Anolis sagrei: one gene and its partner. The protein of the gene in region 1 purifies or fractionates together with the protein of each later gene. This does not show direct contact. Links are inferred from orthologs where the notes say so. Each region holds a gene or a part of one and is shown in the gene's direction. Other genes may lie near its edges.

Region 1 (16,637 bases):
GCTACAAATAATGATGATGATGTTATTCTTGTGTTGTTGAAGGTTTCATGGCCAGAATCGCTTGGTTTTCCTGCTTCTTGGCAGGGGGTTGGATTGGGTGGCCCACAGGATTTCTTCCAACTCTAGGATTCTATGATTCTAGGGCAGTGGCAGTCAGTGTGGGTGAAGGACCTTTCATCGTCTGCTGAGACTAAGCTTCTTTGCCAGTCTTCTTCTCTCCTTTCGAGGCCAGGGCAGTAGTATTTGGGAGGAAAGGAAAGGGTGATGGTAGGTAAATTATTGGATACCAACTTTATTGTTATCTGATGGTGTTAATATTTCAATTGACATAAAGATGTCTGAAATATAAGAAATTATCCCTCAAGGTAATAGGAAACTCCTGGTATTTTTATTACATCTGTAAAAAGAGCCATCGGTGGTACAGTGTGTGCCGTCGCACTTGGGGGCTATTATTCTTAATGAAGGAGGGATGGACGTGGCATCTTTCCCCCAAGGAATTGCTTCTTGCCCTCCTATAGGAAACTGGAACTTTCAAAGACCCAAAATGCTGTAAATAACTTAAAATAAGTTTTATTTATCACAAAGTCATTTCTTTAAAGCAATGAGCTGGAAAACTTCAGAGGGGTGAAGGAAAATATACGTTACAGTCTTAATTAGTCCTGGGTCCAAGGGGTTTGAAGCTGAGAAGCCTCACCAAGTTTCCTTTTTCCTCAATGGCTGTGAATGCCGGAGCAAATCACAACCCCAGTTCAGATGGCCTATGTTTTGAAGACTCAGGATCTTCCTTTGGTGCCAAAAGAACCGGTTTGAAGGCGCTTAGGTCTCCTCAATGTTGTCCAGGATGATCTGGACATAAAGCATGAGCCCCAAGGGTAAAAAACCTCAGAGTTGAAGAGGTAACTTAAATCAGCGTCTTTTAGAGTCAAGTCTCTTACTCACGTCCATATGGTAGGAACTCTGATGGCAGAATGAGAAAGAAAAGGAAGCTCTCCCCTCCTGCAGGAAGGGGTGGAGCCAAACTGTACTGATTGACAGCTATAAGTAACCAGTCCATACAACTATACATAAGCAGGGTAAAAGGGGCAGGATTAAGCATGATAAAACAGTTTAAATCTTGCAACTAACAGTTCTATACATAGGTGGCGCCACTCACGCCGTCACACAGTGGGTTAAACTGCTGAGCTGCTGAACTTGCTTACCAAAAGGTCACAGGTTCAAATTCGGGGAGTAGCGTGAGCTCCCGGTGTTGGCCCAACTTCCACCAACTTAGCAGTTTGGAAACATGCAAATGTGAGTGGATCAATGGGTAACGCTCTGGCGGGAAGGTAACAGTGCTCCACGCAGTCATGCTGGCCACATGACCTTGGAGGTGTTTATGGTAAAGGCTGGCTCTTCGGCTTAGAAATGGAGATGAGCACCAACCCCCAGAGTTGGACACGACTGGACTTAATGTCAGGGGAAAACCTTTACCTTAAAAGATAACATTTTTATATCACCTGTAAAAGATAGCAGCTGTAATTTTAAGGAGGTTAATTTATCGGAAACAGGTACGAGTAACATGGAAACACATATTAGCAAACTTTATGTAAAGTAAACTTTCGGCAAAGTAAATACAAAACCAGCTTGTACACATTTTTGACTTCCTGCTTTTGTTCTTTTGTTTTAATTTTAACTTCCATCTCAAAGGCTGCTACAGCTGTGCCATGAAGAGTCCAGCAGGCCTCATATTTATAAGAGCGGAGTATAGTAATTACTTCGATGAGAGGGTGCAAGGAAAACTCATATGTATGGTAGGAAGTGATGTGAATGATTCATTTATTGGCACCCATTCACTATGAGTCACTATTAAATCAATAGCCCCGAGCAGCAATCGTGGGTACTCTGCAGCTGGAGGAATCTATTTTCCAGATGCCATAAAACCAAGATGCTGACCACAGCATTTTTCATGGCTTTTCAAATGCTAGCTGGAAAAAAACTCCTTCTGAGGAAATTACAGCAGCCCACTTCTCTAACATCCTCCCTGGTGTAAATGTACGCTCAGTGGAAAAAGCAACACCCAACCCGACTCAATGCATCCTACACTTGTTTCTACACAACTGCTTACATTTCTGTCCCTTTTTCCTTTAGTTTATACCTAAAGAGTAAAAAAAACCCCAGACAAACATAAACAAAAAAATGTCAGAGAGCATGTTCCTGTAAGTTTTCTTTGTGAGGAAAATGCATTAATGGTACATACATTGCTGAGACTGATGAGTCTTCCTGTGCATTGTTCTCAACCTTAAATGGTACACAGATAACTTCTTAGCTGATATGGGACTTATATATCGGAAGTACAACTTTTAATGGTGTCCTCGAAAACTTATGACTGATATTTTCACTATGCCAACTGAAAATTGTCCTGGTCTTGTGGCTCATTTTCAAACACAGCATTTTCTGCAGTCTAGAAAAAGATTAATATGTTCATTGTTTCCATATTAGGAACTTTTCCAGACTGCCACATTTGCCATGATGCGGCATTCCCTATTACTCTACCTATCACTCTTATTTCCGATATCCAAATGAAGTTTCCTTTGTGCTGCTAATTCCTAACAATAACTGGATTTTTCTTCTTCCCCAGCTGACTGAAGTACTTTATTTTGTTTCAGTATATTTTTGGTAGATTCTGAAATTCATTCACATTCATAAAGTATAATCCAGTTCTGTTTTGGGCAGTGCCATCCATGTGCAGTTATCTGGGCTGTGAGCTTTAACTTCTCATGTTGTTGTTCATTCGTTCAGTCGTCTCCGACTCTTCGTGACCTCATGGACCAGCCTACGCCAGAGCTCCCTGTCGGCCGTTACCACCCCCAGCTCCCTCAAGGTCAGTCCAGTCACTTCAAGGATGCCATCCATCCATCTTGCCCTTGGTCGGCCCCTCTTCCTTTTGCCTTCCACTTTCCCCAGCATAATTGTCTTCTCTAGGCTTTCTTGTCTCCTCATGATGTGGCCAAAGTACTTCAGCTTTGTCTCTAGTATCTTTCCCTCCAGTGAGCAGTCGGGCTTTATTTCCTGGAGGATGGACTGGTTGGATCTTCTCGCAGTCCAAGGCACTCTCAGAACTTTCCTCCAACACCACAGCTCAAAAGCATCGATCTTCCTTCGCTCAGCCTTCCCTAAGGTCCAGCTCTCACATCCGTAGGTGACTACAGGGAAGACCATGGCTTTGACTAGGCGGATCTTCGTTGCAAGTCTGATGTCTCTACTCTTCACTATTTTATCGAGACTGGACATTGCTCTCCTCCCAAGAAGTAAGCGTCTTCTGATTTCCTGGCTACAGTCTGCATCTGCAGTAATCTTTGCACCTAGAAATACAAAGTCTGTCACGGCCTCCACGGTTTCTCCCTCTATTTTCCAGTTGTCAATCATTCTTGTTGCCATAATCTTGGTTTTTTTGACGTTTAGCTGCAACCCGGCTTTTGCGCTTTCTTCTTTCACCTTGATTAGAAGGCTCCTCAGCTCCTCCTCGCTTTCGGCCATCAGAGTGGTGTCATCTGCATATCTGAGGTTGTTAATGTTTCTTCCAGCAATTTTCACCCCAGCTTTGCATTCATCCAGCCCCGCACATCGCATGATGTGTTCTGCATACAAGTTAAAAAGGTTGGGTGAGAGGATGCAGCCTTGCCGTACGCCTTTCCCAATCTTGAACCAGTCTGTTGTTCCGTGGTCAGTTCTGACTGTTGCTACTTGGTCCTTGTACAGATTCCTCAGGAGAGAGACAAGGTGGCTTGGTATGCCCATCCCACCAAGAACTTGCCACAATTTATTATGATCCACACAGTCAAAGGCTTTAGAGTAGTCAATGAAGCAGAAGTAGATGTTTTTCTGAAACTCCCTGCCTTTCTCCATTATCCAGCGGATATTGGCAATCTGGTCTCTCGTTCCTCTGCCTTTTCTAAACCCAGCTTGAACATCTGGCAACTCTCGCTCCATGTATTGCTGGAGTCTTCCTTGCAGGATCTTGAGCATTACCTTACTGGCATGAGAAATAAGGGCAACTGTACGGAAGTTTGAGCAGTCTTTCGCATTTCCCTTTTTTGGTATGGGGATATAAGTTGATTTTTTCCAGTCTGATGGCCATTCTTGTGTTTTCCATATTTGCTGGCAAATGGCATGCATCACCTTGACAGCATCATCTTTTAAGATTTTAAACAGTTCAGCTGGGATCCCATCATCTCCTGCTGCCTTGTTGTTAGCAATGCTTCTTAAGGCCCATTCAACCTCACTCCTCAGGATGTCTGGTTCTAATTCATTCACCACACCGTCAAAGCTATCCTCGATATTGTTATCCTTCCTATACAGATCTTCTGTATAGTCTCGCCACCTTCTCTTGATCTCTTCAGCTTCTGTTAGGTCCCTGCCATCTTTGTTTCTTATCATACCAATTTTTGCCTGAAATTTACCTCCAATGTTTCTAATTTTCTGGAAGAGGTCTCTTGTCCTTCCTATTCTGTTGTCTTCTTCCACTTCCATGCATTGCTTATTTAAAAATAGTTCCTTATCTCTTCTGGCTAACCTCTGGAATTGCGCATTTAACTGGGCATATCTCCCCTTTTCACTGTTTCCTTTTGCTTTCCTCCTTTCTTGGACTACTTCCAGTGTCTCAGCAGACAACCATTTTGCCTTCTTCGTTTTCTTTTTCTTTGGAACGTACTTTGTTGCCGCCTCCTGAACAATGTCGCGGACTTCTGTCCATAGTTCTTCTGGGACTCTGTTTACTAAATCTAGTCCTTCAAATCTGTTCTTCACTTCCACTGTATATTCGCTCGGAATGTTAGTGAGATCATATCTAACTGGTCTGTGTATTTTCCCTGATCTCTTTAGTTTTATTCTAAATTGGGCAATAAGAAGTTCGTGATCTGAGCTACAGTCAGCCCCAGGTCTTGTTTTCACCGACTGGATGGATGTCCGCCACCTTTGGCTGCAAAGGATGTAGTCAATCTGATTTCGGTGTTGACCATCTGGTGAGGTCCATGTATAAAGCCGTCTTTTAGGTTGTTGGAAGAGAGTATTCGTTATACACAGCGAGTTTTCCTGGCAGAATTCTATCAGCCTGCGTCCCGCTTCATTTTGTTCTCCCAGACCATGCTTGCCTGTGATCCCAGTTGTCATTTGACTTCCCACCTTGGCATTCCAGTCTCCTGTAATGAAAATGATGTCTCTTTTTGGTGTATTATCCAGTAGGTCCTGCAGATCCTCATAGAACTGATCTACTTCTGCTTCTTCAGCAGCTGTGGTTGGGGCGTATATTTGGATCACTGTGATGTTGAAAGGCTTTCCTTGCACTCGAATTGAGATCATTCTGTCATTTTTTGGGTTGTATCCAAGCACCGCTTTAGCGAATTTCTTATTAATTATGAAGGCTACTCCATTTCTTCGATGTTCCTCTTGTCCGCAGTAGTAGATCTGGTGGTCATCTGATGTGAAGTGGCCCATTCCAGTCCATTTCAGTTCGCTGACCCCCAGAATGTCTATCTTTAGTCTTGACATCTCACCAATAACAACATCCAATTTGCCCTGGCTCATAGATCTTACATTCCAGGTTCCTATGGTGTGTTGATCTTTAGAGCATCGGATTCGTCGTTCGCCTCCAGTACCGTCGGCCGCTAGCCTTCCTTTCGGCTTTGAGCTAGCTGCGTCATCACATCTGGGGCTAGTTGAACTTATCCTCTGCTCCTCCCCAGTAGCATTTTGGCCATCTTCCGACCTGGGAGTCCCATCTTCCAATGGCATACCGACATATCTCTGGTTGTACTGGTCCATTTAGTTTTCTTGGCAAGGATACTGGAGTGGTTTGCCATTGCCTTCCCCAGGGATCACGCTTGGTCTGACCTCTCTGCCACAACCGTCCCGTCTTGGGTGGCCCTTCACGGTTTCGCTCATGACATCATTGAGGTGCTCAAGCTCCAGCGCCCCGACAAGGCGGTGATCCTTTGCTGGAGATCCTTTGCTTCTCATAGTCCACTTATAATATGTTTTGAAAGTACCTCCATAACCTTTTGGAAAATGGATATTCACAACCCTTTGGAATAATCATAACCCTAGGAAAGGCATGACCTTGTTAGAGATCCAAACCTTTTGCAAAGTATGATCTTCCTGAGAAGAGTTAAAAACTCACTTGAGTCAACCTTCTCCTTAGTGGTAAATATCAACTAGCATTCATGCAAGGCAATTAGGTTTCCCAGCAGTTAGACCGATGTACCTAGATATCTCTTTGAACTGTTAGGAACAAAGATAAGCCAATGCACAAAAAACATATATAACAGAGTTTCAGAAGTATGATCTTCCTGAGAAGAGTTAAAAACTCGCTTGAGTCAACCTTCTCCTTAGTGGTAAATATCAACTAGCATTCATGCAAGGCAATTAGGTTTCCCAGCAGTTAGACTGATGTACCTAGATATCTCTTTGAACTGTTAGGAACAAAGAGATGCCAATGCACAACAAACATATAGCAGAGTTTCAGAAATGTTCTCTTCAGTTGCCCCAAAACATCTATCTACTCTCTCTTAAAGCGGACAAGAGCAAAGCAGGCAGCAGTCTCCTAAAGTGGACAGACCATGAGGCACGGAGACACAGAGGTTGCCTCTTTAAGCCCCAAAGCCCTATACTCCTGCGCTAGTGCTCCCTCTGATGCTAGCTCTTAATTCAAAACACTGCTCTTATATCAAAGTGAAACCCGGTCTGAGAAAAATACTCTCAAATTGGGATGCTCTTAACTAGAAATCACACTGTGTTTGTATTGCTAGAACATTAGTGCTAATTTTGTAAGTTGCTATAGAGCAGTGGTTCCCAACATTTGCTCCTCCAGAAGTTTTGCACTTTGGCAGCCAGAATTTGTAACAGTTGGACAAGCTGTCAGGGGATTCTGGGAGTTGAAGTCCCAAACATCCGGAGGACCAAGCGTTGGAAACCACTGCTACAGAGGTATCACGGTGTCCAATTCCACATTCTTTTTCTAATTTGTCTCCAGATGTCTCGCTCATGAGTCTACACATGTTCTCCTCCTGTTTCTCCCACAATGGCTCACTGTGATTTTTCCCCCCACTTGAGGTTTTGTGCAAAAGTGGCAAATCTTTACTTTGCTATTGCTACATCTGCGTCTGTGCAACATCTCCACTCCTCAAGAAATCTATCTGCCCTCTGTGTGCATTGATGCTCTGGGGAGACCAACCACAGAGGAACGAAGGAACACTCGTACGTGTTTGTAGAATGATCTTGCTCCAAGGATGCATGTTACCCTTGCACAATACCTCAAAAGAAAAATGTATTATGGGGCACTGGGGGTAGACTGCCATAGGTGAAGATAACAGAGGAGTCTGGAACAACATCCTTCTGATGTCAAACATGAATTTGGAAGGCCCTACCTAGACAGAGACCGGCCAGACCCAAAAAGAGGATCCGGAACACCTGATAAGACAGCAAGCACCAAGAAAGATTTTTCCTTCAATTTTCCAAAATAAAATCTCACCAAGTTGAAGCAAAAGCCACCAAAGTTTTATTTCATTCCAGCTGGAAGTGATCATGACTGCAGTTATCTGCCCAAGGAGCTGACATGCTGGATGGGCAGAAAAAACAATATTTATAGGGCTGTCAGATTCAAAAATTCCCATGCCCACCCCCACCCCCCTGAACTGGCTTCATTGTGATTGGCTGTGACGTCAGCAAGCCAGCAGGAGATCCAATGAGAGCCCGACCACTGCTTTGGCCGCTCAGCCAATGAGGTGGAAGGAGATGGGCAAATGGGAAACAATGAAAAGAATGCCATGATGATGGGTTATGAATGGCACTTTCTGCGCCTGTATTGATAAAGGGGCCAAAGTGATAGCTTAAGCCCTCAAACTTCAGCCCAGGCTATTGTCTTGAGTCTTGAAATAACGTCTTCTGTCTAGCTCCAAAGAGCCAGTTCCATCGTCATATTGCTCTGTAAAATTGGCTTGATGATGGGAATTGAAATTCCTTTTTGGAGATGGAGAAATGGCACAGTGGGGAGGCGGTGACAATCCCTGGTTCCTTGCAGTTGGGAAATGTATGGTTGGGTGATTCTGTATGTCCATAAGTCCCATTGTCCTGGATGGTCTAGCCAACAAGGCCCTCCGAAGTCCAGGAAAAGGGCCCATTTACTTATTGTCCATGCAAATGAGTTTCTGTCAAGACCTTTGTTAATGGGATTATTGGCTCAGGAAGTTTGAAAACTCCTGAGCCCTGGGTTGGTGGCAAAGCTCATGAAAGGGTTACCTTGCTTCATATTTTATATAGACATACTTACTTACTTAGGCGATCCCTTGTTGCCCAAGTAGGATAGTCTTCCAAGATGGGTGTACTGGTGGGTCCATAGGTGACTGTGGAGCCCTATTCTTGATCTGCATCTTCTCCCGCAGTGAGGGCATTGGTTTCCAGGTGGAAGGCGGTCTCAGTCAGGGTTAGCTTGACAGACTACTGGTCACAGCTGATCTCCAGCTAGAGCGCTCAAGGGCCAGGGCTTCCCAGTTCTCAGTGTCTACGCCAGAATTTTTAAGGTTGGCTTTGAGCCCATCTTTAAATGTCTTTTCCTGCCCACCAACATTCCATTTTCTGTTCTTGAGTTCGGAGTAGAGCAACTGCTTTGGGAGACGGTGGTTGGGCATCCGGACAACGTGGCCGGTCCAGCAGAGTTGATGGCGGAGGACCATCACTTCAGTGCTGGTGGTCTTTGCTTCTTCCAACATGCTGCCCTTTGTCTGCTTGTCTTCCCAAGAGATTTGCAGGATTTTCCGGAGGCAGCGCTGATGGAATCGTTCCAGGAGTTGCATGTGACGTCTGTAGACAGTCCACATCTCTCAGGCATATAGCAGGATTGGGAGGACAATAGCTTTATAAAGAAGCATCTTGGTATCCCTACGGATGTCTCGGTCCTCAAACACTCTCTGCTTCATTCGGAATAAAACTGCACTTGCAAAGCTCAGGTGGTGTTGTATTTCAGTGTCAATGTTGACTTTGGTGGAGAGGTGGCTGCCAAGGTAGCAGAAATGATCAACATTTTCTAATGTTACAACATTAAGCTGTATTTCTGGCATTGGAGAGGGATTGGAGAGAGAATATAAATATATACATGAAATATTTATAATATTATAATTTGATGCAATATAATACTAATAATAATATAATTATATATTTATATTACATGTAATATTACAATATAATGGTATAGTACAATATAGTAATATTTAATACTGATATTGTACTATGCTAATAATATAATATATTGTATTTATTTATTTATTTATTTACTTTGCTTATATACCGCTGTATCTCAAGCCCGAAGGCGACTCACAGCGGTTCACAAACAGTAAAAAAACAGTAGAAACAGCAGTGGTTCCATACAACATATAACAATTGACTTAACACATTATCCATAAATTACCAAAAGCAATTACAATGCACAATTATTACAAAAAACAACCGTACCCAATCTTCTCATCATCCAAGCGTAGTCCAGGTTCGTCGTCCATTGTTCCATTCCTATGTTTCATTACCAGATTGCACTAAATTACTCAAACGCCTGCACAAACATCCAGGTCTTCAACTTTCTTCGGAATGCCATGAGAGATGGCGCCAGCCTAATGTCTGTAGGAAGGGCGTTCCTTGTAAGCCGCTCTAAGTCCCCTTCAGGGTGAGAAGGGTGGCATAGAAATGTTGCAAATAAATAAATAAATAAATAAATAGGCTGGTGACTGCTGGAAGAGCACTTTGGTTTTCTGATATACAGACATACATACGTATAATGGATGGGGATATGGGGAATATACTGCATTTTATATGGGAAGGGAAAGGCATGCAGGATCAAGGGAAGATTCATCTTGGTCACCCAGAGTTCATGTAAGATGACACAAAGCTCACTGAGCCATTCATAAAACAGGAGTTTTATTCACAAAAAGGGAATCCAATTCATAAATAATAGCCAAATTGATCAGATGCTGGTTTGGGTTACAGGGGCGTTGCCATGTGGGGCCATGGAAAGAGCCTTAGGTTCCACCATGGGGGAGAGATAAGTGATTATTGGATCATTCCAGCCTGGTGTCCTTGGCAAAACTATGAATTCCCTGATTATGAACTCTTTTACAGGGTCCTGGGGGATGAGGGTCATCTCTGATTACACTTCAAGAACTGAGACCAGTGTGGGCCAGACTTGGCTACTTGCAATTTCTTGGATTTTAACTAAGACTGAAGTATGTTTGGGCTATACAGCATCCCCCAGCCCAGGCTGACCTTGAGCTGCTGAATCACCTAGTACCCAAGTATCCCTGTCCAACCTTATCCACAGTACACAGTTCTAGCCTGGATCCCCCTATTGCGCATGCGCAGCGCGGGGCATGTGTACGCGAAGGGGACGCCGTCAGTTGAACGGCTTGCTCAGCGCGCAGGCGCAGTCGTGTTCAAAGCAGGCAAAATGGCGGCGCCCGTGGACCTTGAGCTGAAAAAGGTATGGGGCGGGAGGGGGTGCGGGTGGGGATGGAGAGAGATAAACGAAGCTCAGGCCCAGAGCTGTGTGAGGCCGTTGTCGTCTGAGGCGAGTCTTTTCGGGAGCGGAGTTTCTCAGGGGCTCATGGCAGCACCAGAGGCCCTGTTGGAGCCTTTGCCATAAAGACAAAACGCCTTTTCCTGGAGTGTTTGTACTAGGAAACTATCAGAGCATCGCCTCAGGATGGGGCCGCCTCTCTAGGCCACAGGAAAGCGGTTTGAGTGTTGGGCGAGGGCAGTGGGAGGCAGGTGACACTCTCTCAGCCTCAAAGCCAACCCCCTCTGCTTCAGTTCTGCCTAGAAAACCCGGCATAAACGGCGGCTTAGGCTTTTATCAACATCAGACTATGTCTACTCGTGGGTGCCTGTGCTTTTAAAACCCCTTCCACACAGCTGAATAAAATTCCACATTTTCTGCTTTGGAATATATGGCAGTGTGGACTCAGATAACCAAGGGCCCTTCCACACAGCCCTATATCCCAGAATATCAAGGCAGAAAATCCCACATTATCTAAGTGTGGACTCAGATAACCTAGTTCAAAGCAGATATTGTGGGATTTTCTGCCCAGATATTCTGGGATATAGGGCTGTGTGGAAGGGCCCCTAGTTCAAAGCAGCTCTTGTGGGATTTTCTGCCTTGATATTCTGGATTATATGGCTGTGTGGAATTGCCCACAGATAATAATAATAATAATAATAATAATTAAACTTTATTTGTACCCCGCTAGCATCTCCCGAAGGACTCGATGCGGCTTACAAAGGCCAAAGCCTCAACATAACAACAACAAACAATAACGATGCAAGCAAATTAAAACATAAGCAATAACACAACAAAACATTACACTATTACACAATAAAATCAGGGCCAGGCCAATGATGGGTACAGGTTAAAAGTCCTGGATGTGTGAGGTGGTATGTTGGAGTTCTGGGCAAGTGCAATGTTCAGATAATATTAAACTCTAATAAAGTGCTTCTGGTACAGAGTGTTGGGGATTATCCTATTCTGGAAAGGCACATCGGAATAACCAAGTCTTCAAGTTCTTCCTAAGACTGTGAACGTGGGTGCTAGTCTAATGTTTTTGGGGAGGGTGTTCCAAAGTCGGGTGGCAACCACAGAGAAGGCCCTGTCCCTCGTCCCCACCAAACGCACCTGCGACGCAGGTGGGATCGCGAGCAGGGCCTCTCCGGATGAGCAAAGAGAACGCGTGGGTTCGTAAGCGGAGATGCGGTCACGCAGGTAGGCAGGTCCCAAACCGTTCAGGGCTTTGTAGGTAAGCACCTGCACTTTGAATTGGGCTCGGTAGGTAAACGGCAGCCAATGGAGCTCCTTAAACAGGAGGGTTGACCTCCACAATATCTGCCTTGAACTGGATTATCTGAGTCCACACAGCCATATAATCCAGTTCAATGTGGATTTTATACAGCTGTGTAGAAGAGGCCTTAAGTGGTTCTCTTACCAGTGGTTCTCAACCTGGGGTCCCCAGATGTTTTTGGCCTACAACTCCCAGAAATCCCAGCCAGTTTACCAGCTGTTAGGATTTCTGGGAATTGAAGGCCAAAAACATCTGGGGACTCCAGGTTGAGAAGACCCTTTTTTCACTGCCACATAATCCATATTATCAAAGGAGATCATTAACATTACCTACTTTGAACTGGATTATCTGAGTCTACATTGCCATATAATCCAGTTCAAAGCAGAAAATGTGTGATTTTATTTATCTGTGTAGAAGGGGCCCCAGAAAATCAAGGCAGATAATCCGCAATATCTGCTTTGAACTGGATTATCTGAATCCACACTGCCATATAATTTTATACAGCCAAATGGAAGTTGCCTCAGAACCGGTTCTCCCAGGCCCCTTCTTCACTGCCATCTAATACAGTTTATCAAAGCAGATAATTCACATTACCTACTTTGAACTGGATTATCGGAGTCCACAATGCTATATAATCCAGTTCAGTGTGGATTTCATACAGCTGTGTGGAAAATGTCCCAGATTATCTGGCAGTGTAGACTCGGGGGCCCTTCCACACAGCCATATAACCGAGAATATCAAGGCAGAAAATTCCACAATATTTGTTTTAAACTGGGTTATTTGAGTCCAAACTGCCATATATTCCAGTTCAAAGCAAATAATGTAGAATTTTATTCAGCTAGGTTGAATGGGCTTCATATAATTCCGTTCAAAGCAGATAATCCGGAACCAGATCCTGGAATGCAGGGCAGTGTATATCCATCCTGAAACATTCATAAAATGATAACGTTAACAATGAGTATTCCTAATACTCATTAGAAAGTACACACACAAGCATCATTGGGTATATACACTAGTATATAATATCTATTTGCCATATTTAAAAGATTCAAATGGCCTACCCCGAGCAATTCTGGTCAATGTCCATTCTCAAAATTATATCACTAGGACTACCCCTTAGAACAAAATTCTAGTGAAATCATCAGAACCTTCCCACTTACTAGGCATTGGGTTAGGCCCTTTAATCTCAAAGTCTGTCTATTGTCAAGGCAGAGCTATCTAGAAGCAGATAACATCCAAGCAGAGCCCTTTATGTATGAGTCTCTAACAATCAAGGAAGGGCCCTTCCACACAGCCGTATCACCCAGAATATCAAGGCAGATAATACACAATATCTACTTTGAACTGGATTATCTGAGTCCACACTGCCAAATAATCCAGTTCAATGTGGATTTCATACAGCTGTGTGGAAGGGGCCTTGGTTTTTATTGGTAGTCTCCCATCCAAGTACTAACCAGACCTGATCCTGCTTAGCTCAATTATCAGACGAGATTTTGCCTTTTGTGTATTAAGGAAGCATTACTCACACATACAGTTCATTGAAGAGTCCACTGTTTCTTGTTTAAACAAAACACTAAGCCCCTTCTACACTGCCATATAATCCAGATTATCAGATCAGATAATCCAGATTATTATATGAGTCTACACTGCCATATAATCAACTTCAAAGCAAATAATCTGGATTTTATATGGCATTGTAGAAGAAGCTTGAGAACACATCTCCTTGATTGTCTTTTGGTCCTTCCACACAGCCATATAACCCAGAATATCAAGGCAGATAATCCACAATATCTGTTTTGATTATTTATTTATTTATTATTCAAATTTATAAGCCGCCACTCCCCTGGGGCTCGGAGCGGCTTACAAGAACAGGCTAAAATCTAACACAATTTAAAAACAACAATGTCAAAGATCAAAGGCCTTATCTGAGTCCACGCTGCCATATAATATAATTTGTTGCAGTATTTGCATGGTATTGAATTCAATACCAAAGCCTTCTCTGAAGTAACACTCTCCCTATGGACATTTCCTCCAAGAGAAGGCAGATTGGTGCCAACCTTGTCTAGTGTCCAATTAATAGTAAGAAAATGTATTTATCCTTGAAAACATTGTTACAGTCTGTAATTAACTGCATAGATTTTGACTTGTGAATTTCATTTAATGTTTCTGCATAGACAGTATTTTACTGGACAAACCAGATCATTATTGCTATGGCCATTTACCAGAGGATGTGTAGTGGGTAGGACAGTCATTCTTCTTCTTAGTTATCTGTGAATCATATCTAGAACTGGTTTTGTATGTCACAGCATTATAAAGGGGGATAGCTGTTGAAGACATGCTATGAATGCTGTGTGTAGTGAATGCTAGTGCTACAATATGGAACACATTATGTTAAAAAAGATCACGGGAGGGGTTGAAACTATAACAGCAATAGGAACCTGTCTTGAACTCCTTCACATGATCATTCCATCTCTGTTTGACTTGCTCTGTGTCTTCTAGATCTCAATCAGAAATACTGTATATCCTAGCCTTTCTATCTGAAATACTATTTACTGAAGGTTCAGCCTGGAATCGTCAGCATGGAAAGCATATCTGCAATATGCCATATAATAATAATTTGTTATAATTAGATTGTGGCCTAAACTGTCTTGGTCGTCCTGACTACAGTAGCCCCATTTAAGCCTTTTGTTTTATCTAATCAACAATTAATTCAATGAGTGTACTCTATTTGGGAGTGGCTGGCATTCTGTTAGAGCCATATACATGTGTGCATGTATTTTACATTTTACATTATGTATATAAAAGTGTGATAGTTCTTCTTTGTATGTAGAGATTCTTTAATGTTGAGGCAAAAATACAGTGATAGAGTTTTCTTGATTTTCTGCCGAAAATAAAACATATTTGATTCTAGGAATATATCTGAATAGGCTTTGTTACAGTATTTGCATGGTAACACAGATTTTTGTAGAAAATATAATGTCATGAAAAGGATACAGCGAAAGGAGGATTGTCAACATCCACTATTTTGTTACACCTGATATTAAAAAAAATTAAAAAGAGAGTTTGAGATTATGCTGCTCATTGAACGGTTGCAGCTGTGCTATCTTTTACTACAGCTATAATTATACTAACCAACCAGACATTTAGTGGGCAAGTGTGTGTTAACACTGAACCCCCTGAAAACTCGTGCTCTTAGCTCACGAAGCTTAGGCTCAGCATGGCTATAGTAGTTTTCCCTCCACAGCAATTAAATGGTGTTAAGTTCCCTCCCTACCTACAGTTGCTGTGTAATGAAAACTTTCTCTACATGTTGAATGAAGGGAGGTGACAGGGAGAACACTTCACTAGCTGAGTAAATATCAATGAATGAGTCAGGCCAGCTGTTTTACTAGAGAGAGATTATAGTAGATGACATAAATATAGGTTGCTTAGGCAGCTATTAGATAATTATTTTTATTTTCAGTGTAATCTTTGATTAATTACATTGACACATAGTTTGTAATCATTATTTAACTCAAGTCAGAGCTGAGGGAGATTGTAGTTATCTGACTTAATTCCAGTAGGTCAGCAAGGGTTTCTGACTCAATTTCTTTGAACAACATAGCAATTTTTAAAAATCCCCTCATTTTCTAAATTACATTTCTAAAGAACATGTTGAAGGGGAGACCAGAGTAAGCTGTTGTGGGAAAGAATTTGTGATATGATACTGATAACAAATGCTTGTTCTAATTCTCAGAAATGTCTTGTCCCCTTATTCCTAGTGTGTCTTGAACATTTTGTATTTATTGCTGGTTGCTGAATTTCAGGATTCGTGTAAATACATGCTAGAACAATATTCTGTTAGAAACATACTTTATACAAACCTTCCCCATTTAACCCAAGCTAATATCAGTTTGTTGAACCACATAAAACAGGGAAATAAACCCCAAATTCCATATTTGCAGCTCTTAAGGACACCCCTGCAAGCTTCTATGCCCCTATTAAAAATTAGGCCTTTTTTGGTCCCATAATCATAGAAACGTGTTAGAAGTGCTGCAAAATACTTTGATGTCATATCACTAACAATTTAGGTGCATTGCTACAATATTGTCCCTGGGAGGTAAAAAGTAGCTCCTGCTTTTGGTGAATTTGTACATCCCTGACAGAAGAAGTATATACTATTTTGTATAGTGTTGTTGCTTTATATTTTACTGTTGTACTCTACTTGAGAATTTTTGAGGGAATCTTAGTATTATGTGAATATTTGTAAGTAAATAAGAAGTAAACTATAACAAATTAGATCTCACAACCTTGACATCTGCTCACCCTTGATTTAAGTGAATAAAAGGTTCTGCTGACTTACTGAATAACAGGAGTACAAGTTTGTTGTTGACTGTGACAATGTCTAGTTATGCTATCCTGTGCTATCAAGTATTGGAAACTCAGGACTATTACTTTCCTCATTGAATCTATTCACCTGAAATGTTGCCTTTCAGTTTTCCTACTGCGTTTTACCTTGCCAACCATTATTAAGACAATAATTAAGATATTAAAAAAACTATCAAGACAATACCTTCTAGTCAATCATGTTTTCTCATGGTGTGTCCAAAGTATGAGAAGTCTCACCTTAGCCAACTTAACTATCAGGGAACATTCAAGCTCGATTTATTCTAGGACACATTTACCTGTATTTTCCTTTTTGGCAGTCCATGATATGCACAAAACTCTCCTCCAGTAGCACATTTCAAATGAGTTGATTCTCTTCATATCAGTTTTTTCTTCTGTCCAGCTTTTATAACCATACATAGAAAT
Region 2 (15,934 bases), on another chromosome or scaffold:
GCTGGAGCTGACAGATGGGAGCTCACCCCATTTCGTGGATTTGAACCACTGACCTTCAGGTCAGCAGTTTTCAGGGCGTTGCCCAAAGAACGCCTGGATGTTTTGGCATCCTGTGGGAGGCTTCACTCATGTCTCATGGGAAGTTGGAGCTGACAGATGGGAGCTCAACCCGTCTCGTGGATTTGACCTTCAGGTCAGCAGTTTTCAGGGGCGTTGCTCAAAGAACGCCTGGATGTTTTGGCATCCTGTGGGAGGCTTCTCTCATGTCTCATGGGAAGCCGGAGCTGACAGATGGGAGCTCACCCCATCTCTTAGATTCAAACCACTGACTTTAAGGTCAGCAGTTCACTCATTATGCCACCGCAGAAGGTTAACTATAAAAATAACATCCCAGTGAATCCTAGGACATGTTGTCCGGAGGTTGATGGCTCATTCCTACACACATTTATCCGGGATTTACTTCTGTGCTGCGTAAGTGAGCTTGTTCATGAGATAGTGCCCAAACTAATTCTCCTTTCTGGAAGCTAAGTTGCATTTTAACAACTTCATTGTGAACATGTTGAGAACATTAGAATGCTTGAGTAACACATCAAATTAATAGTTTCATTGCAACTGTGCCCTGATATATTTACCAGGGGAGTAGTGTTGTAGTGTTCCTCTTACAAGGTTGTCCTTAAGTCAGATAACACATGAGTGATACCATGCCTCTCCACTGAGGTCCCCTCTACACTGCCATATAAAATCCAGATTATTTGCTTGGAACAATCTGGATTATATGGCAGTGTAGAAGGGGCATGAGAAGTCTGGTTTGTTGAATTCAGTGGCCCCTGATCTCAGGTAAGGATTGTCACCTGAAACAGAAGTTTGCATGTCCTAGACTTGAGCTGGGTTGCTCTTGTTTACTTCCAAAAATGAAGAGAAAGACAGGCTGAGAGATCTTCAGCTTTCTCTGCCAAAGGAGTTCCTAAGACCATCAGAAATATGTGATTTCTGATGATCTTTGGTGACCCCTCTGAACCCCCCTCACAATCCGACCCCCAGGTTGAGAAATGCTGCTCTAGTGTGTTAAATCCTTTTTTTAGAAGAGGAAATTTCAGAAGATATTGCTGGATAACAAGCAACCCCTGCCAAAATACCCTTTTCTACTCAACCATTAAAGGTACAGAAACCTTACCTACTTTTACTTTGGCAACCCAAGGCATATCAGTTTTGAAACTAATAATGAAATGATAGTTGCTAAAATCAGATACTGCTTCCATCATATTTCATAAACAATGTGTCATTAGATAAGAATGTCCACCATTGAGTTGCCCTAAGAAGAAAAACATTGTGATGTGAACTGAATACATATAACATCATACTTGAAAATGTCTCTTCTAAAGCTGGCTTCCTTTTTTTTCTACATATGCATTCATTTCTAAAAAAAAGAAAAAGAAAAATCAATAAAGATATTTGAGTTCTCTGCATATAGTAAAAATGTGTAGAGTTTTTTTAAAAAAAGCAAGTATACTTTCCTTGACTTTAAAATTAAATACAGATCTGTGGATTTTTTTAATTTGTTTGTTTCTTGTGTTAGGGAAAGTTAGGTTTCAAATTTTAGAGCTGAACGCACTGTGGATCGGTGCTTTTATTTGTACATAAAAGGGAAAACTTTCTTAAATGGCTTGCGTTTGTGATGATAACATTGAACTGCGTCATGTATCAGTTGCTTATTTCCACTCTAAAGATGAGATTGCTGAGTGATCGAAACTGTGCATGCTCTTGCTACAGTTACTGGAAACTAGGAATAGAAATACTGCTCTGGACTTTGAAGATGTAATTAGACTTTTTTGACCATAATGTACTGCTTAAAATGTATAGTGGATGCATTTTTGTCCATAGTTGTCTGATAAAGCCTTTGTTTTCAAAGATTCTAATGGCCAAGATAGTCTTTCTTCTCTCCCTATGTCGCCATTTAACTTACATTTCTATAGTCATTTGTACGAACTAGTTGGCTGGGTTTTTCCAGAACACTGAACGATGAAACAAAGGTGCTAAACCCATCTTTTGAGGTTTTTTTCTGTGTTAGGAGCGACTTGAGAAACTGCAAGTCACTTCTGGCGTGAGAGAATTGGCTGTCTGCAAGGACATTGCCCAGGGGACGCCCAGATGTGTCACCGTCCTGTAGGAGGCTTCTCTCATGTCCCTGCACGAGAAGCTGGAGCTGACAGACAGGAGCTCACTCCACTCCCTGGATTCGAACCGCTGACCTTTTGGTCAGCAGTCCTGCCGGCACAAGGATGTAATCCATTATGCCACCAGGGGCTCCATCTTTTGAGCTGAACACATTCTTCTAATTATTTGGCCCATATCCCCTTCTTTTGCATTTGTTTATGTGTCTTAAAACACACTCGGTTTGTGCCTTCCAAGAGGGAAGGTTTCCTTTGTATAGGGTGAGTCTGTTATCAGTTCATCCTTACATACCTGTTCCCAGAGCTGTGTTGTTTTCAGAACCTTTGTATTTAAAATCTGTATTTAAAATAGGATTTGAATTGCGCCTTGTATCTAAAACAGAAGAATATGATTCCTTGCCCTTCTTAAGCTGTTTGGTAGGAAATGCCAGAAAGAGCTGGTGGCAGGTGGAGACAACCTATAATCCACTGTAGATGAGAGATTTAACTTGGTTTTGGGACAGACAAATGAAGTATAATTCATTTAAACTGTGTACTTGGTGAGATCCAAACTAAATTAGCTGGACTTTGGTGTCATTGAAATGGGGACCTGTTTGCCAAGGCTTTACCTACATGGATCTGGCTTGGCCTGTTGGGTTTGTCCTTCCTTATGACCTGGACATGCAATTATTGCCTCTCTTTGCCTTAACTGCTGTGGGCATAATGTCGCTCAGATTTTTTTCTAGGCTACTACTAAGTGAGAACGCAGTCAGAACCAGCTTGATATCCGACAAATACCATATTGACTCAAGTCTAATGCACCATCAAATCTAATGCGGATCTCAATTTTCAAAACCCTTAAACAAAAAAAAAATACAGATTATGTTCCTCCAATAGGAGCTCCAAGTGCTCCTGTAGCAGCTTCCTCCTTTGTTTTGGCCCAGTGCTAAGAGGGCCATTTTACATGAATCTAATGCATACTTTGGGAGCCCCTCGGTGGCACAGTGGGTTAAACCGCTGAGCTGCTGAACTTGCTGACCCAAAGATCACTGGTTTGAATCTGGGTAGTGGAGTGAGCTCCCGCTGTTTGCCCCAGCTTTTGCCAACTTAGTTCGAAAACATGCAAATGTGAAATCAATCATTACTTCTCCGGCGGGAAGGTAATGGCGCTCCATGTAGTCATGCCGGTCACATGACCTAGAAGGTGTCTACAGACAATGCCAGCTCTTTCCCCAGAGTTAGACATGATTAGACTTAATGTCAAGGGGAAACCTTTACCTTTTAATGCATACTCTTATTTGGGTAAGCTAATATAGCCAAAAAGGTACCAAAAGAAGCATTAAATTTGAGCAAATAGGGTATATGATCAGATTTCACACGTTTTTTGGCAGCCAGGCATGGAGGCAGGATTGCAAATGTGTCAGGAAGGAAGGGAACTAGTTTTGCCTAAGACGCCAATGCCGATACATATCCCTTGAACGTTCAGGGCCATTACTAGTGGAAATTGAAATTTCCCTCTGGGTGAGTTCATTGTCATGACAGCTTTGGCGGAATGAGCTACACCTCTATTCTAGTCCCTGATTCATTCCCTCTTCCATTTCCCTCTCCACTGTCCTTGCAGACTTGTGTATGAAATTCAGCCAAGCGTTTCTCACAGCGTTCAGTGTAGTCCTGGAGGCACTGAGCTGTGAAACAAATAGACCAGAAGTAAGTGCAGCGTTTGTAGAAGTTACCTCTATGAGATCAATGACATGAATCTTCAGGTGGTGCAGGAATGTAAATCCCTCGGCCAGTAGAGTCAGTGATGAGAACGCTGGGAGTTGCATTTCAACAACAGCTGAAGCTGCCGAGTAGCACCAGTACAACCAGGCAGCATGTAAGTACCTCAGCAGTGATTCTCAACCTGTGGGTCCTCAGATGTTTTGGCCTTCAACAGCTGGTAAACTGGCTGGGATTTCTGGGAGTTGTAGGCCAAAGCACTTGGGGACCCACAGGTTGAGAGCCACTGCTGAGGTCCTTACATGCTGCCTGGTTGTACTGGTGCTACTCAGCAGCTTCAGACTTTCTGATGCTCTAGAGCAGGGGTCCTCAAACTAAGGCCCAAGGGCTGGATATGGCCCTCCAAGGTCATTTACCCGGCCCTCGCTTAGGATCAACCTAAGTCTGAAATGACCTGAAAGCACACAACAACAACAATCCTATTTCATTAGCCAAAAGCAAGCCCACACTTCCCATTGAAATACAAATAAGTTTATATTTGTTAAAATTGTTCTTCATTTTAATTATTGTATTGTTTTTAAGTCCTTTTTGCACTACAAATAAGATATGTGCAGTGTTCATAGGAATTCATTCATGCTTTTTTCAAATTATAATCCAGTCCTCCAACAGTTTGAGGGACTGTGATCCGGCCCTCTGTTTAAAAGGTATGAGGACCCCTGCACTAGAGAATGAATACTCTTTAAATCAGATTTCTGCCTCTTGCAGAATTCTGGGCTTTGTAGTTTAAGCAGGAGCCTTTAAAAGCCTCACTAAACTACAAACCTCAGAATTCTTCAAGAGACAGAAACCAGATTTAAAGTGGATCCATTCTCTAGTGTGATGAAGTAGTTAGTCTAGTTATCCCCATAACAATGATGTGGAGCGCAAAATATATTAGCATTGTTCACCAGATTTTGATGAAAGCGTGAGGATACAGTTTTTCTGATGTGAAAGTTTGTTGGCCATTTTTAAAGAACCCTATAAGCCAAATTTTACAAAATGTGTATCTCCAGCTCATTAATCCTGTGCAGAGCTTGAAGGACATTGCTCTGGAAGAGAGATTCTACTTGAAACGGAGTTGATGCTACAGTCTTTCAGTCGTAGTCTAAGTGCCATGGCTGTCTCCTGTGAATCCTGGGATTTGTAATTTCCTGAATCTTGCACTTCTTTGCGTGACATCACTAGTGTACTTCAGAAGAGAGGAACTATGATTCCCTAGATCCCATAGAATGGAACCGTGACAAAGTGGTACAGAGCTGCTGTAACTGTAGTGTAAATACATATATTGGCTTGTAAAGATTTTCCCCTTTGCTTTAAACAATGCAAAGTTTTTAAACCAGTTTTGATGCCAGTGACCATTGCCACTTTACTTGAACTCCCTGCGGGTTAAATAATGGATGTTTGTATTGAAAGTCTTTCAATTCACCACGATCAACCAACAATAGTGTGATCTTTGTCAATGCAAGAGTTACATGACACACCAAATTAATCAAGAACATCACTTTTTACTTCATCAGACTAGAGAATGAATCCACTTTAAATCCAGTTTCTGTCTCTTGCAGAATTCTGGGGTTTGTAATTTAGTTGTTTTTTTTTTTTGTTGTGTCAGCAGCGACTTGAGAAACTGCAAGTCGCTTCTGGTGTGAGAGAATTGGCCGTTTGCAAGGACGTTGCCCAGGGGACGCCCGGATAATTTTGATGTTTTTATTATCCTTGTGGAATGGTTCTCTCATGTCCCCGCATGAGGAGCTGTAGCTGATAGAGGGAGCTCATCCGCCTCTCCCCGGATTCGAACCTGCGACCTGTCGGTCTTCAGTCCTGCTGGCACAAGGGTTTAACCCACTGTTAAAGACTCCTCCCTAAACTACAAACCCCAGAATTCTGTAGGAGGCAGAAACCGGATTGAAAGTGGATTCATTCTCTAGTGTGATGAGGTCCTTTGTCAACCTGGGTTCAACCTATTGTTTTATTTTTTAAAAAAATCATATTTAAAGCCCGTGTAACCATTTAATTCAACCTGGAAATCCAAGCTGTCACGTTAAGAAGACATTATGGATTGAATGTATTTTGAAATAAAATATGGATTCTGCATTTTTTTCTATTTATCACATTTGAAAATGCTTCTCTCAGTTAAGTTTTTTAAATACATCATACTTGATACAGATCAGTGGGGTCTAATGTGGTATTTCACCTGCTCAGAGTATGTCTTTTGCCCAATTCTGCATGTTCTTTTGTAGATGGATGTAATTTCTCTCTGAAAAGTTGTGAAAAGTGACCATGATGCATCTAGCCAAAAAAAGTTGTTTTCAATTCCTTTCTTTTCTCCCAATTCCTTATTTTGCTGAAGCACAAGGTTTGCTACGTTAACGTTTTGATAATCTCGACCCTTCATAACTTGGCAGGATGTATAGAAATGGAAATGAATGAGACTGTTGCATAGAATCCTCCGTTTTGTTAATGAAACAGGTTTTGAAAAATAAACTTTGGCACAAAGTTGGCTTGGATGTGTGTGTGTGTAATGTCTGTTAAAATCACCTTTAATTTCGAGGCAATCACATATTGGTTATTCAGCAAACTGTATCATTTCCTCAGCACCATTGTGAATTTATGCAATGGAAGGACCCATTCAAAAGTTTCAAGAACTGAGAGTTGCTTTCTGTCAATTCCAAAATTATCAGGAAGGCTCATGCTTTGTGATCTGAGATGGAAAAAAGCAACACTTGGCCACCTTTTCAGAAGGATTGGCTGTTGCTAGGTGAAGTGGCCCTCTGTGATGTTACTAGGAAAGAAAAGAAGTGGCATGTGTGTTGAGGGGAAGGGAGGAAGGAAGGAAGGAAAGAAAGAAAGAAAGAAAGAAAGAAAGAAAGAAAGAGGTGGGGAAAGGAGGGACGGTGGAGGGGGAAAAGAAAAAGATGGAAGGAAACAAAAAGATATAAAATATATGAGGGTAAGGAAAGAAGGGAGGAAGGGTGGGAAGGGGAGAAAGAAAAGGAAGGAAGAGAAAGAAAAAGAAAGAATAAAAAGGAAGGAGAGGAGAAAACAAATGGGAAAAGGTATGAGGGAAGGATGAAAGAATGGAGGAATGAGAAAGAAGAGAAGAGGGAGAAGGTATGAGGGAAAGGAAGAGAAAATGTATGGGGAAAGGAGGAAGGAAAGAAAGAAAAGAAAGGAAAAGATGAAAGGAGAAGACAAATGAGGGAAGAGAAAGGAAGAAAAGGGAGAAGAAAAAAAGGAAAAAATGGGAAAGGGTATGAGGGAAGGAAAGGAAGGATGAAAGAAGGGAGAGATGAGAAAGAAGAGGGAAAGGAATAGAAAATGTATGGGGAAAGGAGGAAGGAAAAAAGAAAGGATGTAAGGAGAATAAAAATGAGAGAAGAGAAAGGAAGAAAAAGAAGGGAGAAGAAAAAGGAAGGAAAGAAAAGAAACGGGAAAGGTATGAGGGAAGGAAAGGAAGGATGAAATAAGGGAGGGATGAGAAAGGAAATAAGAGGGGGAAAGTATGAGGGAAAGGAAGAGGAGAAAATATATGAGGAAAGGAGGAAGGAAAGAAAAAAGATAGGATGGAAGGAAGGAATCATAGAATCATAGAGTTGGAAGAGACCTCATGGGCCAACCTAAAAACCTCCAAAGAAGGAGCCTCCACCACATTCTGGGGCAGAGAGTTCCGCTGCTGAACTGCTCTCACAGTCAAGAAGTTTTTCCTCATGTTCAGATGGAATCTCCTTGTAGTTTGAAGCCATTATTCCACATCCTAGTTTTCAGGGCAGCAGAAAACAAGCTTGCTCCCTCCTTCCTGTGGCTTCCTCTCACATATTTATACATGGCTATCATATCTCCTCTCAGCCTTCTCTTCTTCAGGCTAAACATGCCCAGCTCCTTAAGCCGCTCCTCTTTGTTTTTGTTTTTTTTAAGTCCTTTCTGCTGTGTTTTTCAGTATTTTGGCCTGATAAGTGTCTTGTGTCCAAATTTGGCATCAATTCGTTCAGTGGTTTTTGAGTTATGTTAATCCCACAAACTAACATTACATTTTATTTATATAGATTGTGCCATATCCTAAGTTGTAGTATATACAATATGCAATATATTAAATTACAACATTATTATTACATATTTATTTTATTTTATTGTTCTTATATCCCGCTACCATTTCCCGCAGGACTCGGTGCTGCTTACAGGAGGCCAAGTCCAAAACAACATGAAAACAACAACAGCAACAAATAACTCAAAAAGCAAAAGCAATACAATAATAACACGACACAGTTTAAAAACATGAAGCAGGGCCAAATGTAAAGATTTAAAGTTAAAAACTGGGAAGTTCACAGGGGATAGGAGGAATGTTTTGGGATAGGAGAAAGTGCAGACAGTTCTAAGTCTCTCATAAAGTGCATTAAGGACATATTGCTTAAGATTCCTTATTCTGGGAAGGCACGCTGAAACATCCACGTTTTCAAGCTCCTTCTAAAGACTGCCAATGTTGGAGCCTGTCTGATATCCTTGGGGAGGGAGTTCCAGAGTGGCTGGGCCACCACCGAGAAGGCCCTGTCCCTCGTTCCCATCAATCGCGCTTGTGAAGCAGGTGGGATTGTGAGCAGGGCTTCACTAGATGAACACAGGGATCGTGTGGGTTCGTATACAGAAATGCGGTCATGAAGGTAGATGGGTCCCAAACCGTTTAGGGCTTTGTAGGTAAGCACCTGCACCTTGAATTGAGCCCGGAAAATGAATGGCAGCCAATGGAGCTCCTTAAACAGGAGGGTTGACCTCTCCCTGTAAGGAGCACCAGTTAACAGCCTGACCGCCACACGTTTATTTATTTGTCGTGTCAGAGCAACCAGTCCATTATATTACATTTCTAACAGAACAAAGCAAACTAACAGACAAAATACAAAACTTGTGAATTTGGTAGTTGGTTAAATGCCCTTTGACCAGTATCTGGCCACTTGGAGTGCCTCTGGTGTTGCTGCAAGAAGGTCCTCCATTGTGCATGTAGCAGGGCTCAGGTTGCATTGCAGCAGGTGGTCAGTGGTTTGCTCTTCTCCACACCCGCATGTCATGGATTCCACTTTGTGGCCCCGTTTCTGGAGGTTGGTTCTGCATCTTGTGGTGCCAGAGCGCAGTCTGTTCAGCGCCTTCCAAGTCGCCCAGTCCTCTGTGTACCAAGGGGGGAGTCTCTCATTTGGTATCAGCCATTGGTTCGGTTCTGGGTTTGAGCCTGCCACTTTTGGACTCTCGCTTGCTGAGGTGTTCCACCGAGTGTCGCACGTTGTACCAACTGGAATTTCCAGGCCGTTTTCAAGGGCAGCCCCACGTAGAGTGCATTACAGTAGTCCAATCTAGAGGTGACTAAGGCATGGACCACCCCAGCCAGATCCGCCTTCACTGGGTGTTGGTATATTACATACAATATACCAACACCACTACATTACAAAATTATTATTTCTATATATCGTTATATTGCTATTTATTTATGTATTTAATTAATTCAATTAATAAATAAACAACATATTGTATAAATATATAAACAATAAACATATTGTATAAATTTATATATATATATATACTCCCCAACTCTCCACTCAGTGTTGGGTGATTGTATTTGGGAGCAAGAGTCCAAAAAAAAAAGTAACTTTGCAATCCAAATGATCACAGAATACCTCCCTCCAGCTCCAGCCTAGGACTGAGCATGCGCCATAAGGGTTCATTCCAATCAGTCAATCAAGGCCGTTCTTGACCAATCGGGGAACGCTTTGTCCCGCCCACATCGCTTTAGCGTCGTCGCTGTCGTCAGGCGACGCCGAGCCCCTTTCCTTGAGGCGCCTCGGGCGCGTTGACGCGCATGCGCGTGTCCTTTCGTGCCGTTTAACCCCGCCCCTCGTCTTCTTCTCCTCCCCAAAATGGCGGCGGCCACAAGCGGCGAGGCGGTGGTTTGTGGCGACGGCCCGGCGGGGGGCGGGAAAAGGGGCCACTTGGGGATCCCGGAGGCCGTGTTCGTGGTGAGTAGAGGGCGGGGGAAGGGGGCGAGCGAGAGGCCGAGGAGCCTTTACTCGGAACCGGCTACCGTTGGGCCTGGAAGGCTGTGAGGGGAGGGGGTCCCTTGTGCGCATGCGCAGGGTGTCCACTGTGAAGGCTTGTAGGCCTCAGTCTTCCTTAAGGCCCTACCACACTGCACTGTTGTAATACTGTTGTCCCTCTTTAACTGCTTATTTCATTTCGTGTCAAAAGCATTTCGTGCATAATAATAATAATAATAATAATAATAATTTATTTGTATTCCTGGGTCCTGTTTGAACTTTTCTCCCTGCTTTGAGGCTCCCATTTGGTTCAGTCCATCAAAACAGCATTCCTGTGTGAACTTTCTTACATCTGAGACTATTGCCTTCCCTTGATGTATATTGCCCTGCCTGCGTAAGCTTCCTGGCGGGAAAAAAAGCCAGTGGGATTTTGGACTGCATCAATAAGAGTCTAGTGTCTAGATCCAGGGAAGTCATGCTGCCTTGGTTGGACCACACCTGGAATATTGTGTCCAATTCTGGGCACCACAATTCAAGAGAGATATTGATAAGGTGGACTAAAATGATCAAGGGTCTGGAGAACAAGCCCTATGAGGAGCGGCGTAAAGAGCTGGGCATGTTTAGCCTGAAAAAGAGAAGGCTGAGAGGAGACACGATAGCCATGTATAAATATGTGAGAGGAAGTCATAGGGAGGAGGGAGCAAGCTTGTTTTCTGCCGATGGGATTTTGGCCTGCATCAGTAGAGTTATAGTTTCTATAATAGAAGTATAGTGTCTAGATCAGGGGTCCTCAAACTAAGGCCCGGGGGCCAAATACGGTCCTCCAAGGTCATTTACCCGGCCCTCGCTTAGGGTCTTCCTAAGTTTGTAACAACTTGAAAGCACACAACAACAACAATCCTATCTAATCAGCCAAAAGCAGGCCCACACTTCCCATTGAAATACTAATAAATGTATATTTGTTAAAATTGTTCTTCATTTTAATTATTGTATTGTTTTTAAATGTTTTGCACTACAAAGAAGATATGTGCAGTGTGCATAGGAATTCATTCATGTTTTTCTTTTTTCAAATTATAATCTGGCCCTCCAACAGTTTGAGGGACTGTGACCTGGCCCTCCATTTAGAAAGTTTGTGGACCCCTGGTCTAGATGCAGGGGAGTCATGCTCCCCATGCTCTATTCTGCCTTGGTTGGACCACACCTGGAATATTGTTTCCAGTTCTGGACACCACAGTTGAAGAGAGATATTGACAAGCTGGAATGTGTCCAGAGGAGGGCGACTAAAATGATCAAGGGTCTGGAGAACAAGCCCTATGAGGAGTGGCTTAAAGAGCTGGGCATGTTTATCCTGAAGAAGAGAAGGCTGAGAGGAGACATGATAGCCATGTATAGGTGTGTGAGAGGAAGGCATAGGGAGGAGAGTTTTTAGCTTCCCACAAAAGGGATATTCATTTAGAGCACTACCTAACTATTCCATTTACACTGCCCTTAAGATGAATATATACTAGGGCTAGGTTTGAACAACTTGGTATTATGATGCAAACCGGGCGCTACTGTAACATCCCAAGAAGTGAGAGATTCTGCTGAGAGGAGACATGATGGCCATGTACAAATATATGAGAGGAAGTCATAGGGAGGAGGGAGCAGGCTTGTTTTCTACTTCCCTGGACACTAGGACACGGAACAGTGGCTTCAAACTACAAGAAAGGGGATTCAGTCTGAACATTAGGAAGAACTTCTTGACTGTGAGAGCCGTTCAGTAGTGGAACTCTCTGTTTTAATGGGAGTGTAGTGGAGGCTTCTTTGGAAGCTTTTAAACAAAGGCTGGATGGTCATTTGTCGGGGATGCTTTGAATGCAATTTTCCTGCTTCTTGGCAGGGGGTTGGACTGGATGGCCCATGAGGTCTCTTTCAACTCTATGATTCTATGTGATGGACTGGGTGAGGGCCAAGAAGCTGAGGCTTAATCCGGTCAAGACAGCGGTCCTCGAGGCCAGTCAGGGTATAGAGTAGCAACTTGTGCTCAACGGGTTTACATTTCCCCTGAGGACACAGGCCTGCAATCTGGGGATCCTCCTGGACTCAGCACTGACAGTTGAAGCCCAGGTGTTGGCGGTGGCTGGGAGGGCCTTGTGCAGCAACTGCAACCTCGAAAAGCCTGACTTGGCCACAGTGCTTCATGCCTTAGTTACATCTAGAATGGACTACTGCAATGCACTCTACGTGGGGCTGCCTTTCAAGATGTCTCGGAAACTGCAATTAGCCCAAAGGTCGGCAGCCAGATTACTAAGTGGGGCTAGTTATAGGGAGCATACACCCCCCATTAGTTTATGCAGTTAGTGTTTTCTGAACTCATTTTTAATTGTTTTTATTTGTTATGTATCTTGTTGTATTTTGTGTGTACTGCACTATTGGGTACTTTTCGTGCACCGCTCCGAGTCCCTTCAGGGAGATGGTGGCAGTGTACAAATAAAGTATGTATATACTATATATACATATATATTCTATATATATACACATACACAAACTATCCACACACATACACAACTAGGAAAGACCATCAGCTGTTAATTGCTTCTGCCTTCCCTTCCTTGCAACTTCCATTTGGCATTTTTATTGCTCATTTATTATCTATGTGAGTTGTCTTCCTGCCTGTTCCTCATGGCAGACCCTGCAATTGATTTCATCTCCGTGAAAAGACTAAGGCTATTTATTAATCAAACCTACTCTTCATTTCATATTGCTGTTTACTAATCAAACCTTTTATTCTTCATTAAATCAGGTCCTTGCCCTTTTTTCCCTTCATCATAATAGAGATCTCATTCTTCTCCTTGAAAGGTGTAACTGCCTTGGAGTCTCATTGCTAGATGTCCTTGCAGGAAGTAAACGTTATGACAGGTTTTCTCTACCCGAGGTCATAGCTTTATTTAATGTATTCTAGTTTTATATTAATGCAATGTGACTGCCTTCAAGACATTGACAACTTGCTTAGTTTTAATTCCACTTGTGGCTGTTTGACTTGTTTTAATTATTGTAGGCTTCCTTGTATTTAAATATTTAGATGCTGTAGGTTTTTGATTGCATTATTTTGAATGTTGTGTGCTACTTAGTTTCAATCAAGAGAGCAAAACAGGATATTAATAATAATGTAATAATAATAGTTTTCCTTGAAGTTGCCTCAAAATTATGGTGACCATAAGGCAAACCTATCATGGGTTTTCATGGCAAGATTTGTTCAGATGATATTTGCCTTTGCCTTCCTTTGAAGCTGAGAGACTGCGATTGGCATTGAATAGGAGGCCACCATGGAATGCAGAGATCCTGCTTAAAATCCTAGAGAGTCATTATGACTAGTTAGAGTTGGAGCAATGGTCCAGCTCATGACGAAGCACTGTTTGTAAGGTGTAACGAAGTAATTGATCGTAATGGAGGGTCTGCTAAAAACTCCATGTTTTATTTCTTTATTTAAAGCACTTGGGCTGCTTCAGCAATTTTCATTCTGGAAGGAGCACCTTTTATTAAAATGTTTGAATGAGTGGAGGCTGAGTCATAGCTGAGTTGTAGAACCCTGAATTTCAATCCCTGGATGCTTCAGCAAGATTGAAAAAAACATAGGACAAAGAGTAAGAAAAATCTAATGCTCTGATTAAAGTCAGTTTCATATACCTGCCATGAAGAAGACAGACTTATTTTCAGTTTCTAATGCAGAGTTAGTGCTTTTCAGGATGACTCTCTTTCCTTTGCCTAGATGTGAAGAGTGATTCTAAGTCTGATAGGTTTACCTTGTGTCGCCATAAGTTGGTAACAACCTGAATGTACACAACAACAGCAACAAATATCAAAAGATAAAAGGGCAGCATGAAGTAATCAACTTGACCATTTGAATGAAAAAAATTAAACTTTATGTGCCAATTTCATGAGACTTAGGGAGAAGGCAAAAGGTATGTGACAAGTACTGAAAATGCTTCCAGATGACTGGACATGAAATATTTTATAATATTTATTCACTTATATAAATTGATGAGCATTTGTATTGATGTATTAATTCATAGCACAGCTGGCCTGGTAACGTTAGTGAGGCAAATTGCAGGAATAGACCATCCTTGAATATTGTGGAATGAAACCTGTCTCTTAGGATGCACTTAGGTCAAGTGAAAATTAAACAGAACTTCAAAGTTAGCCATGGGAAATTAACTTTTAATGGGAGATTGCCTCATAATATTTATTCATTGCTGTAGGTATTCCTTGCCTAAGAAAACCATATAAAATTAATGGGATTGCCAAAAATTGACAAGAAACTTGAAGACACATACATTTATGTATTTCAAACATTAATATTTTGCCCTTCTCACCCCAAAGGGGACTCAGGGCGGACTACAACATACAAACGGCAAACATTCCATGCCAGGCTTAAAATAATTATAAAATATACACAAACATTAAAATCAGATGTTTAAAACCATGCTGGCTCCGATTATCGGAGTAGGTTCCCTATTGTACCATTGCACTGCCCAAAGGTTTGGTCCCATCCGGGTCTTTACCATCTTTCTGAAGGACAGAAAGGAGGGGGCTGATCTAATCTCGCCAGAAAGGGAGTTCCATAGCCATGGGGCACTCACTGAGAAGGCCCTCACCCCACCAAATGCGCCTGTGACATTGACGGAGCCAAGAGTAGAGCCTCCCCAGAATATTTTAGTATTTGCAGTGGTTCGTAAAGGAACATGCGTTCGGACAGGTAATTTGGGCCAGGGCCATTTAGGGCTTTATAGGCCAAAGTCAGCACTTTGAATTGTGTCCAGTAGCAAACAGGCAGCCAGTGGAGCTGATGTAACATGGGAGTTGTATGCTCCCTGTACGCCACCCCAGTTATTAACTTGACTGCCTCTCATTGAACTCTTTGAAGCTTCCAAACAGTCTTCAAAGGCAACTCCACATAGAGTGCATTGCAGTTGTCTATCCTGGATATATCATGTGAATATATCTGTAGTGTGTTTGAACTGTGCGTGAGAATGTACAAGTTGGTATGGTGATGGAAGAAGAGCAATGTTTGATCTATTCAAGTAGGATGTGCAACGGTATGCAAATAAATCTTTTCGAGTGAGACTTGCAATTCTCATTTTGGGATATTCATTCAATTAGTACAGTATCTTCCTTCCATGTATTTCTGTTAAGGATTCTGTGCGAATCCCTATTACTGTGTCTTATTTGGTTCTGCTTGTCATCTTCATTTTCTGGTTGTTGAGAATCTATGATCCTTTGAAGAAATCTTTTTTAAATGTCCCCTCAAGTGTGCCATCTCCCTTACTCCCTCGTGGCCTTATTTTTGCTGGAATCCTACATTTTTACAAGCACTCCCATTGATGTTGGGAGACATTAGTCCTTTAAAATACTAATATTTAACTTGTTGATCCATTAAGAGTCATGTCAAAAGAGTTCTGTGTATATTTACATGCTGGGATCATTCATTTTTAATACTGCAGGCATATCTGGCTGGCTATTCTACAAAATTCTCTATATAAGAAACTGCAAAAGGGATGGGAGTGCCCAGTTTATATTTATATTTCCAAAGCTCAATAGACTTGATTTTTACCAGCTCTACATGCAGACTACAGTCTGTAGTAATCAGTTCACTAGCTGAGAAAGCTTCTTAAAACAGGATGAGACAAATAGCCAGCGGCAACTATTAGCTGCAACTGCTGAATCTTCAAAAGCAGCTTACCTTTGAGCATTGGGTGCCCAGAATGATCAAAGAGTGTGACTTTTGGCTTCCTGCCTTGTTTGAGGATGTCCAGGGACATGTGAGTGTCGGCTGTTGGCAGCGAAATGCTGGTGTTCATGAGACCCAGCCTTGTTCCAGCAAGCCAGATTAGGTGCTAGGAATGAGCTCTTTTTTGGGCCGTCTCACCTTTTTGCTAATGAAACCCGCCTTTGGGAGACAAGGAACAGCTCCCCAATTATTGTGTGAGCTTGCACTGTCTACGTAGCACCTACAGTACTCTTGGTGTATTGTAAACA

Evidence for each region.
Region 2: the proteins of PFDN1 (region 1) and VBP1 purify together in Homo sapiens (affinity purification with mass spectrometry; 4 studies listed by BioGRID and IntAct, counting the BioPlex papers as one, with this or other methods). This does not show direct contact. The link is inferred for Anolis sagrei from reciprocal best matches to the Homo sapiens genes PFDN1 and VBP1.

Annotation. Positions count from the first base shown.
Region 1 is NC_090024.1:136,876,710-136,893,346, forward strand, and holds the start of PFDN1 (prefoldin subunit 1), read left to right. Parts: upstream 1-10,387; 5' UTR 10,388-10,462; coding exon 10,463-10,495; intron 10,496-16,637. UniProt on the Homo sapiens protein: Binds specifically to cytosolic chaperonin (c-CPN) and transfers target proteins to it. Binds to nascent polypeptide chain and promotes folding in an environment in which there are many competing pathways for nonnative proteins.
Region 2 is NC_090030.1:17,411,593-17,427,526, reverse strand, and holds the start of VBP1 (prefoldin subunit 3), read left to right. Parts: upstream 1-9,764; 5' UTR 9,765-9,802; coding exon 9,803-9,901; intron 9,902-15,934. UniProt on the Homo sapiens protein: Binds specifically to cytosolic chaperonin (c-CPN) and transfers target proteins to it. Binds to nascent polypeptide chain and promotes folding in an environment in which there are many competing pathways for nonnative proteins.